2 linked regions of the Nothobranchius furzeri genome follow. The protein of the gene in region 1 interacts with the protein of each later gene in a pairwise test. Links are inferred from orthologs where the notes say so. Each region holds a gene or a part of one and is shown on either strand. Other genes may lie near its edges.

Region 1 (4,282 bases):
GCATTGCGCTAACCACTCGCTGCCAAATTGCAGCCTTTGAGATTAGAAAATCTCCTTTTGTCACATCGCAATTTAATTGCACATGCAGTTAATCGTTCAGCCCTAATATACATGCAGCTCTATGCTAAAAGTGTATTTTCAAAGAGGTAATGATGGATTTCTTTGTAAAAGTTGTCCATCTTTCCAATAGAAAGATTTGCCTGGACCAACGTAATGTGATAACAACGTAACGTGATTACGTAATTCCGTGAGGTTCATGTTCAGCCAATCAACTACTTAGACGTCATCGGCAGTCGACGGACCCCGAGCCGATCTTGCACCCGAGCAGATCCTGTACCGACACCGGCTGTTGCAGCATTTCGATCATGACCGCGGATCAAGGAAGCGCTATTTCACAAGCAGAAGTTGAGGTACTTGTGGGTGAGGTGGAGAAATGAAAGGAAGTGCTTTTGCAACGCAAATAAAAGAAAATCCACAGAGTGGCACAGCGTTGCTGAAGCCGTCAATGTTGTGAATTCTTCAGAGAGATCTGTGGCGGATGTAAAAAAAAAGATCCGATCAGGATCCGATCCGCAGACTCCCAGGTGAAAGTCACGCGCGCTAACTAGTCAGCCAAACAGAGATCTCCTCTGTCCAAGTAGCCAGGGCGCATGATCAATCTGGTCACAATGACAGGACACACACACTGTCACAGACGCATGACATTCTGTCTCAATCTGCCCCCCTGCTGATATTCTGCATTCCATATTCTGAGCTTCAGGCTGTGTGTGTGTGTGTGTGTGTGTGTGTGTGTGTGTGTGTGTGTGTGTGTGTGTGTGTGTGTGTGTGTGTGTGCGTGCGCATGTGTGTGTGTGTGCGCGTGTGTGCATGTGGGGGGTCTTGTTCTGCGTGAAAGCGAAGCGGTACAAGTGATAATGCTGCAGGATTTCATAATTTTATCCTTCTCAGCAGCAGCACTGCAGGTGCTCTCCATGTCCAACATGTGCGTAAGCCAGGCCCTTAGTCAACTTAAAGTTGCACACATTTTTCCACTAAGTTTTCTTTCAGAAATCCCAAAGTTTGCGTGGAAAGTTGCTTACGCAGTTTTCCGACCCCGTTTTGTGTGTAAGCAAGCTTTATAAATGAGGCTCCTGGTCTTGACAACAGCAGAGGATGACGTACCTTCTGGGGTGTGAAAATGATCTTGTATCTTTTAAATCTGCCAGCTGCCTTGTCAGCGTTAACTACATCTGAAACAGGAGCGTCAGAGTTATGAAACACCTGTTTCTGTATCTGAGAGAAAGTCCACATGAAAGAAGATGTTTATATATTTCCTGGTCTGAGGAGTCTTGATATCACACTTAGAATGAAGGCACTTCTTAAGGAAACATATAATCTTTCAAACAAATGTGCAACAGCTGAAGTGGATGATGGTTTAGAGCTTGTGATAGGTCAGTTTTATGATGTGGCTTTTTTTGGGAAGCGTATTAGATTGTTAGGCTGTTGAGATGTAAGAAAAACTATCCTTACCACAAATCCACTTGACAGTTTGTATTCTTGGGCGAATCAGAAAACAAAGCCTGTGAAGAAATGTCATGTCACGATGTCAGAGGGTCCGACAGGATTAGTGACAGTACGCTACTCCATGCAGTGTTCATAAGAAGCAGCAAAACTCACTGATCAGAGGTGCTGATAACAGGTTTGTATTCCACTTTGTAGAGTTTGTCCACTTCGTGTTGCTACAAAGCAAATGACAAATGTCTTATGAAATACTGGAAACGCTAGTGTCTTAAATCAGAGGCAGGAAATAAGGTTTACCTTTAGTGTTGACACATTTGCGATCCGATCCAGCGGGCTCATTAAGTCTGCTTCAATAAAAAGGTCTTTCTTCCCTGGCAGCTGTGTGATGAAATAAGACACATGCCATAACAACAATCTGTTCTACACAAAACTAGAAAAACTTGTCAACAGAAAGTTCATCGCCTGATTCAATTATTTATAATACCAGAATTGCACATAACTTGATGGTAAGATCACAAAATTCTCTGACGCTATTGTTGGGATGTGGTCAGAGGTGTACCACCTTCAATGACTGTGACAGCTGTTACGTCAGCCCTATAAATCAGTCATTACACAGTTGTACTGATTTTTCCACTATAATAACAGACTGGAGTGCTTGTGAAAAAGGTTTCTGGTGTTTTTCTTGTCTAGCGTTTGTCTAAACCTGATGCTTTGTGGCAAACAGCTGATCTAAGCTAGGTACAGGTATATGCGCGTGTTTTCCTACCTGTTCCAATAGGTAGATGAGCTGATCTCTGACCAATCTCTTTAGCAGAGAGAAGTCTGGGAACTCCGGGGAGTCTCTCCTTGCACTGTGAGCCATTCTCAACCACAACAGGACACGTCATTCAGTCACTGGTGGCACAGAAATAAATACAGTTATAATGCAACAAAGATACGTCCCCAAATTTAAAAAAACCATAAAGCGTGACGATGAGTGTTCCGTTCTCTCCACTACCAGAGTTAGCTTGTAGGCTAAAAACACACAAATCATCTTTGCCTGCACATTGTAAACGAACAGCAAAATGCTGACGTTTGTATGAAATAATTCTGCACAAACTATTACATCATATTAATTTGACTAAAGCTGCATTTTTCTGAGTAAACAGATTAATATTATGTTTTTCTGTCGAAGCCTACCTGCTTCCGTAGCATAATAGTTCGTGCGATCAACTGTTTCCCACCGGACACAATAGAGTGAAGCAACACGCCCTTATCACTGACTTCAAACTTCAATTTATATGTCGATGCTTTTTAAACCCAAACCATCAACAAATCCAGCCTAAACAAGTTAATATTCTTCAACTGCATCTTAGTATTCTGAGGAATTAGCTTAACTCCCACAAAATAATTAACTGTTTTGGTATCGTTTCATCAACAGGAGGAGTCATCATAGCAATCCGGAATGGAAAAAAAAAACTCCCTTAAATCAAGTATTCTTCATTCCGGACTCTTAGTCAAATTCACAGAAGTAGAAAAAACATTGTACAGATAAGATTATTATTGTTATTATTAGCTATTTTCAAGTTTTGGTTTTCAAAGACCCAAAAGTAAAATAAATTTTAGTGGGCGGAGCAGATTGTAAAACACGGAAATGACGTAACACCGATCTGAAACACCGCCGTGCTTGCTTCCCAAACACGTTTATGCAACCTCCCTTAATTTGATCAAACAGAACTGAACATGGATTCAGACGCAGCTTTGTTGTTGGAGGCTGCTGATTTTGCTGCGTTTAAACATCGCGATCAGAGACGCAAAGATACAAACTCAACCCCCTACATTAACCATCCCATCGGTAAGGAGAAAGCTCTGTGTGTGTGTGTGTGTGTGTGTGTGTGTGTGTGTGTGTGTGTGTGTGTGTGTGTGTGTGTGTGTGTGTGTGTGTGTGTGTGTGTGTGTGTGAATTGTAGATTTCATTTCATTACATTATTACGAACTAAGAGGGGAAATATTCCACATATAGCCCCACTAAGTTTTTTTAAACCAGTCGCTGCTGGTTTTAGTAAGGGTTCTACACCAAATGTTATAAATGAGGCACCTGGTGTCTAATTCCAGCACTCATGAGTGAGAGGACGACACATTGGACAGGTCTCCCGTCCATCACAGGGAAACACAGACAAATCATAAAAATAATGCACGTTTGTGTAGCATTTATTAGTCAGGGTCTTCAAAGCACATTACAGTCCAGTCATTCACGCTGATGGTGATACATGTAGCCATGGCTGCTCTGGAGATGGTAAGTGGTCTGTATTTGTATAGTGCATTCTTAGGATTCAACAACCCCCCAAGGCACTTCACAACACAATCAGTCATTCACCCATTCACACACACCATGGTGGGGGATGAGCTGCAATGTAGCCACAGCTGCCCTGGGGCGTACTGACAGAGGCGAGGCCCTCCGATTACAGGCGCCACCGGTCCCTCCGTCCACCACCAGCAGGCGAGGAGGGTAAAATGTGTTGCCCAAGGACACAGTGACTGAACCAAATGGAGCCTGATGGTTCAGACCTGCAACCCACCGATTACAAGGCAAACTCCTAACCCTTACTAGTCGACTAACTAACCACCAGTCACACACTCACACACTTAGGGATAATTTACACTCTAAATTTTAGAGTGTTCAGTTAATACTATAATACTATACTATAATAATATTCTAAGATGACTATGCAGGATTATTTCATCCTAAGTAGTAGAAGAGTGGATCAGGGAGCCCGAGGCATTATCCTAGCACATGGATCAG
Region 2 (4,153 bases), on another chromosome or scaffold:
TGAGCAGCTCCAGCAGCAGGCTCTGGTCTCTGGTCTCACTCAGGTAGTGGACAAAATGTCTCAGCGCCGTCTGTCTGGACTCCAGCTCTCGGAATAAAACCTCTGATGAAGCACACAGAGTCAGAACCCGGCGGTTCACTCTGCTGCAGAACCGGACCAGGGGCCTCATTCATCAAGCTTGCTTACGCACAAAACGGGGTCGGAAAACTGCGTAAGCAACTTTCCACTCAAACTTTGGGATTTATGAAAGAAAACTTATCAGAAAAATGTGCGCAACTTTAAGTTTTAAGGACCTGGCTTACGCACATGTTGGACATGGAGAGCACCTGCAGTGCTGCTGCTGAGAAGATACAATTATGAAATCCTGCAGCATTATCACTTGTACTGCTTCATTTTCACACAGAACAAGACCCCCCACACGCACACACACACGCACACACAGCCTGAAGCGCAGAATACGGAATGCAGAATATCAGCAGGGGGACAGATTGAGACGGAATGTCATGCGTCTGTGACAGTGTGTGTGTCCTGTCACTGTGACCTGATTGATCATGCGCCTGCCTACTTGGACAAGGGAGATCTCCCTCTGGGTGACTGGTTAGCGTGCGTGACTTTCACCCAGGAGTCTGGGGATCGAATCCCGATTGGACCATTTTTTTTATATCCGCCACAGATCTTTCTGAAGAACTCAGCATTGACGGCTTCAACAACGCTGTGCCACTCTGTGGATTTTCTCTTATTTGTTTTTAAAAGCACTTCCTCTCATTTCTCCACCTCACCCACAGGTACCTGAACTTCTGCTTCTGTGAAATTGTGCTTCCTTGATCTGCGGTCGTGATCAAAATGCTGCAACTAGCCGGCTTATGTATATGCATGAGATCTACAAGGCACTTTGCATTGACCATTTATGGCAGAAAGTGGGCGTGGTGAGGGTGGGATGTGACTAAAAAGCAGCTGAGAACCTTTCTAGATCGTTTCTGATTTATAAAGCGGAGATTGCGTGCAGCTGTGCGTACGCCATGTCTTATAGGTCACAAACCTACTTGGTGTAAGTACATTTTTTTGCTGAGGATTCTACGCAATGTTTTATAAATGAGACCCCAGAGCCCTACTCACCTTTACTGAGAGTCCTCTTTAAAAAGATCAGAACCTGAAAACAAACATCCAACTCCGTTACTTTGGTCTGACTGGTGTCAAAGTCCATCGATTAGAGAGTCTGAATTTGGTTACAGCCGTGATGACGTTTCCGTCGTGAGCAGCGACGGCAAAATCCAGCAGCAGCAGTTTGTCCTGAAGAGAGCGGAACTTCTCCAGAGACACGACCTGCAGAAAAGTACAAAAATTACAAGTCAGAAGTACAAAAACACAGTAAAAAGTACTAAACCAAGACTATTAGACTAAGTCACTACCGATGGGTACAAACAGGTAAGATACCTTTCCCTGCTGAAGTCTCTGCACCGTCTCTTCAGTTGACCAATCACTTATGAGATCCTGACAAACATATGACATCAGAAAAAACAGAGGACTCCCCACAGTAATCAGATTACAGTCCTGCAGTTACCTTGTACTCCGACTTTGGTTTTCGGAGCTCAGGAGCGAAAAGCCTGACAGACGAGTCGCCGAGCGCTGAAACACAAAATTAGTGGCATCAGTGAAGTGATTAGACAATTCATTCATTCATTCATCAGACTCACTGTCTGTGAAGGTCTGTAAGTTTCCTCCTTTTGGTTTTCCTGCAGACAGATTAAACAGTTGTGACCTTCCTGAAACACGGAGGACGCGCCTCGCTCTGGCAGGATAACGAGGCTTTTACCCAGCATGCACCACGGTGAGGTCTCACCTTTGAACAGGGAGCTTAGAGAGAGTCCTGACTGGCTTTTGTTCAGCGATGAAGTCTCTGTGGTGACTTTGGGGAAGGCAGGCTCTCTGTCTGTTTTCTGATTGGATGCTGCCGTCTCTTTGACGGACCAGGAAATACCTGGGGACACAGAAGCCACACATCATCCTCCTGAAGCCAATCACAGCTCAGGATTATCCACAGGTGGATTTAGTGACTTACTGCCGATGGGTTCTCCGCTCCAGCTGACCTTCTCCACATCATCATCATCGTCTTCACCCACCAGCGAACAGATGCTGTTCACCGCCTGCCTCGACTCCTTCAACTAAGGTTGTCAAACAAAAATCCCAACTCACATGTTTTGATGTTTATTTTAACAGGGGGTTTGGATTATTTATAGCTGTTTACGATTAAATTGTTTATCAGTAATCTCCACATAACAGCTGTGTGGAAGACACTAGATCAGATCTTACCCTGCTGAACTCATCATCATCATCCTCAAAGGTGAAAGCTTTAAACTTGGAGCTGTTCCAATAGTCTTCCTCATCTGTTTTACTCTTCATCATCTGGACACAAATAACAGTTTCAATCCGGTTTATTGACATAAATTATAAGGGCAAGCTGTGTGTTGTTGGAGCTGATGGGGTGACTTTACATTCATATTTATCTAAATAATGACACAAGAGGCTCGTTACTGCCACAGTAGCTGGATTTTATCTATTAGCATGCTAGCAAGCTAACAGAAACGTCAGGGTTTAACTGCTATTTTCCGACATGACAAACGGCGGGAAAAGTAAAATCACTCCAGAAATATTAAGCATTTAAGCCGGAACAAGAAAACTCAAAGACAACAAAGTAAAAATGTGATAAACGTACAAAACCAACCGAATGTTTTTACCTTCAGTCGCCGCGGTTCTCTTCCTACTTCCGTTCTATCGGAAGAGTCGGAACTTACGGCTGCGCAAGGGCTTCTGGGAGATGTAGTAAAAAATTAGGTTTTTAAATGGTTAAAAAAATAGCCTTAAATGTCTCAGCGAAAGTTTAAAAAAATTAACTTTTCTTTATTTTTTATTGTAAATCACATCATTTATCAGCCCAGAGTCAATTTAGACATAGAAGCTCTCTGTTAAATCTGTTTTATTTTTAAATTCCTGCCTATCTAATGTTTTTGGTTAATTTATAGAATATATAAATACTGTTAAATTACCCATCAGGTCATTATTTGTGGCTGAAAGCTCAAATAAATTATTGTTTTTATATTATTCGCCACCATTTAGAAATCAATCATTTAACAAAGATTATCATTAAACCCATCCATCTTTTATTTTTAAAAATAACTATTGATTTGATGATTTTCATTGTGTATATAAATAATGTCTATGTTGATACACATTGCGTTTGTAAACTATAGATGATTCATTTTAGTTTTAATTGTTCTAGCAGTGGTTTAAAGTAAAGTATCTGTATATCTGAGTACTTTAACCACACCTGGAGGAAGAAAACTGTAGTAAACATCTCGGCTCTCTTCTTTTATTTTGTTAAACTCCATCCTGTGCGATTTTATTTTGAAAGTCTTTTGAGCAGCTGGTTCGTGTTTCAGCTGAGATGAGTCCCTGAGACCCTCTCCAGAGTCATAGTGGAGCTAAAACTCAAAGATTACTGGTCTTCAGCCGGCGGCGATCAGACTTCAGAGATCTGTGATGGCCAAATGGGGAGAAGGAGATCCTCGATGGATTGTTGAGGAGAGAGCAGATGCCACCAACGTCAATAACTGGCATTGGTTGGTGTGTCCTTTTATTCTGGTTCTTGTTATTGGTTGTTTCTTCCTGTTGATGAAGCTGGAGCTAGACTCTGAAAGCTCGTCTGAAAGTGATGACCAACTTGCTGAGAATAGAAGAACTTTAAAAGCTGGTTCATATGACATGTTTGTTTAAAAAAAAACAAGACTGATTCATGTTAAGGCCTCTGGAGGCTTTTATTCTGAAAATATGTCTTTTTTTTTTACACTTTCTTCCATGTTTCTAGGAACCATAAACGACTAGAGTCTCCCAGTACTTCATCCTTGGAACTACACGTCCAAATGAAACTCTTATTGTGTAGATATGAAAATGATCAAACCTATAGGAGCTAATCTGGTATCCATGGTAACAGCAACTTCTAGCAGCTTGGAAGAATCTTCCAGACATATCTGTGATGTATTGGAGGGAGTTATTTTGGTGAGAGAGAGAGAGAGTGTGTGTGTGTTATTTGACACTGCAGCACATGTGGAGATATTTTTAAATGCTGTTATAACAGGAATGGAATGGGGCCTTTAAA

Evidence for each region.
Region 2: the proteins of vps33b (region 1) and vipas39 interact in binary tests that used the Homo sapiens proteins (3 or more experiments, as listed by UniProt). The link is inferred for Nothobranchius furzeri from reciprocal best matches to the Homo sapiens genes VPS33B and VIPAS39.

The regions. Positions count from the first base shown.
Region 1 is NC_091749.1:29,998,212-30,002,493, forward strand, and holds the start of vps33b (vacuolar protein sorting-associated protein 33B), read right to left. Parts: upstream 2,806-4,282; 5' UTR 2,680-2,805; intron 2,395-2,679; 5' UTR 2,363-2,394; coding exon 2,267-2,362; intron 1,879-2,266; coding exon 1,798-1,878; intron 1,719-1,797; coding exon 1,657-1,718; intron 1,560-1,656; coding exon 1,510-1,559; intron 1,230-1,509; coding exon 1,162-1,229; intron 1-1,161. Other genes in the region: hddc3 (guanosine-3',5'-bis(diphosphate) 3'-pyrophosphohydrolase MESH1), read left to right, coding at 3,223-3,334. UniProt on the Homo sapiens protein: May play a role in vesicle-mediated protein trafficking to lysosomal compartments and in membrane docking/fusion reactions of late endosomes/lysosomes.
Region 2 is NC_091742.1:15,282,371-15,286,523, reverse strand, and holds the start of vipas39 (spermatogenesis-defective protein 39 homolog), read right to left. Parts: upstream 2,801-4,153; 5' UTR 2,736-2,800; intron 2,404-2,735; coding exon 2,311-2,403; intron 2,163-2,310; coding exon 2,060-2,162; intron 1,979-2,059; coding exon 1,841-1,978; intron 1,734-1,840; coding exon 1,695-1,733; intron 1,627-1,694; coding exon 1,562-1,626; intron 1,492-1,561; coding exon 1,435-1,491; intron 1,324-1,434; coding exon 1,231-1,323; intron 1,151-1,230; coding exon 1,117-1,150; intron 103-1,116; coding exon 1-102. Other genes in the region: activator of 90 kDa heat shock protein ATPase homolog 1-like, read left to right, coding at 3,538-3,617.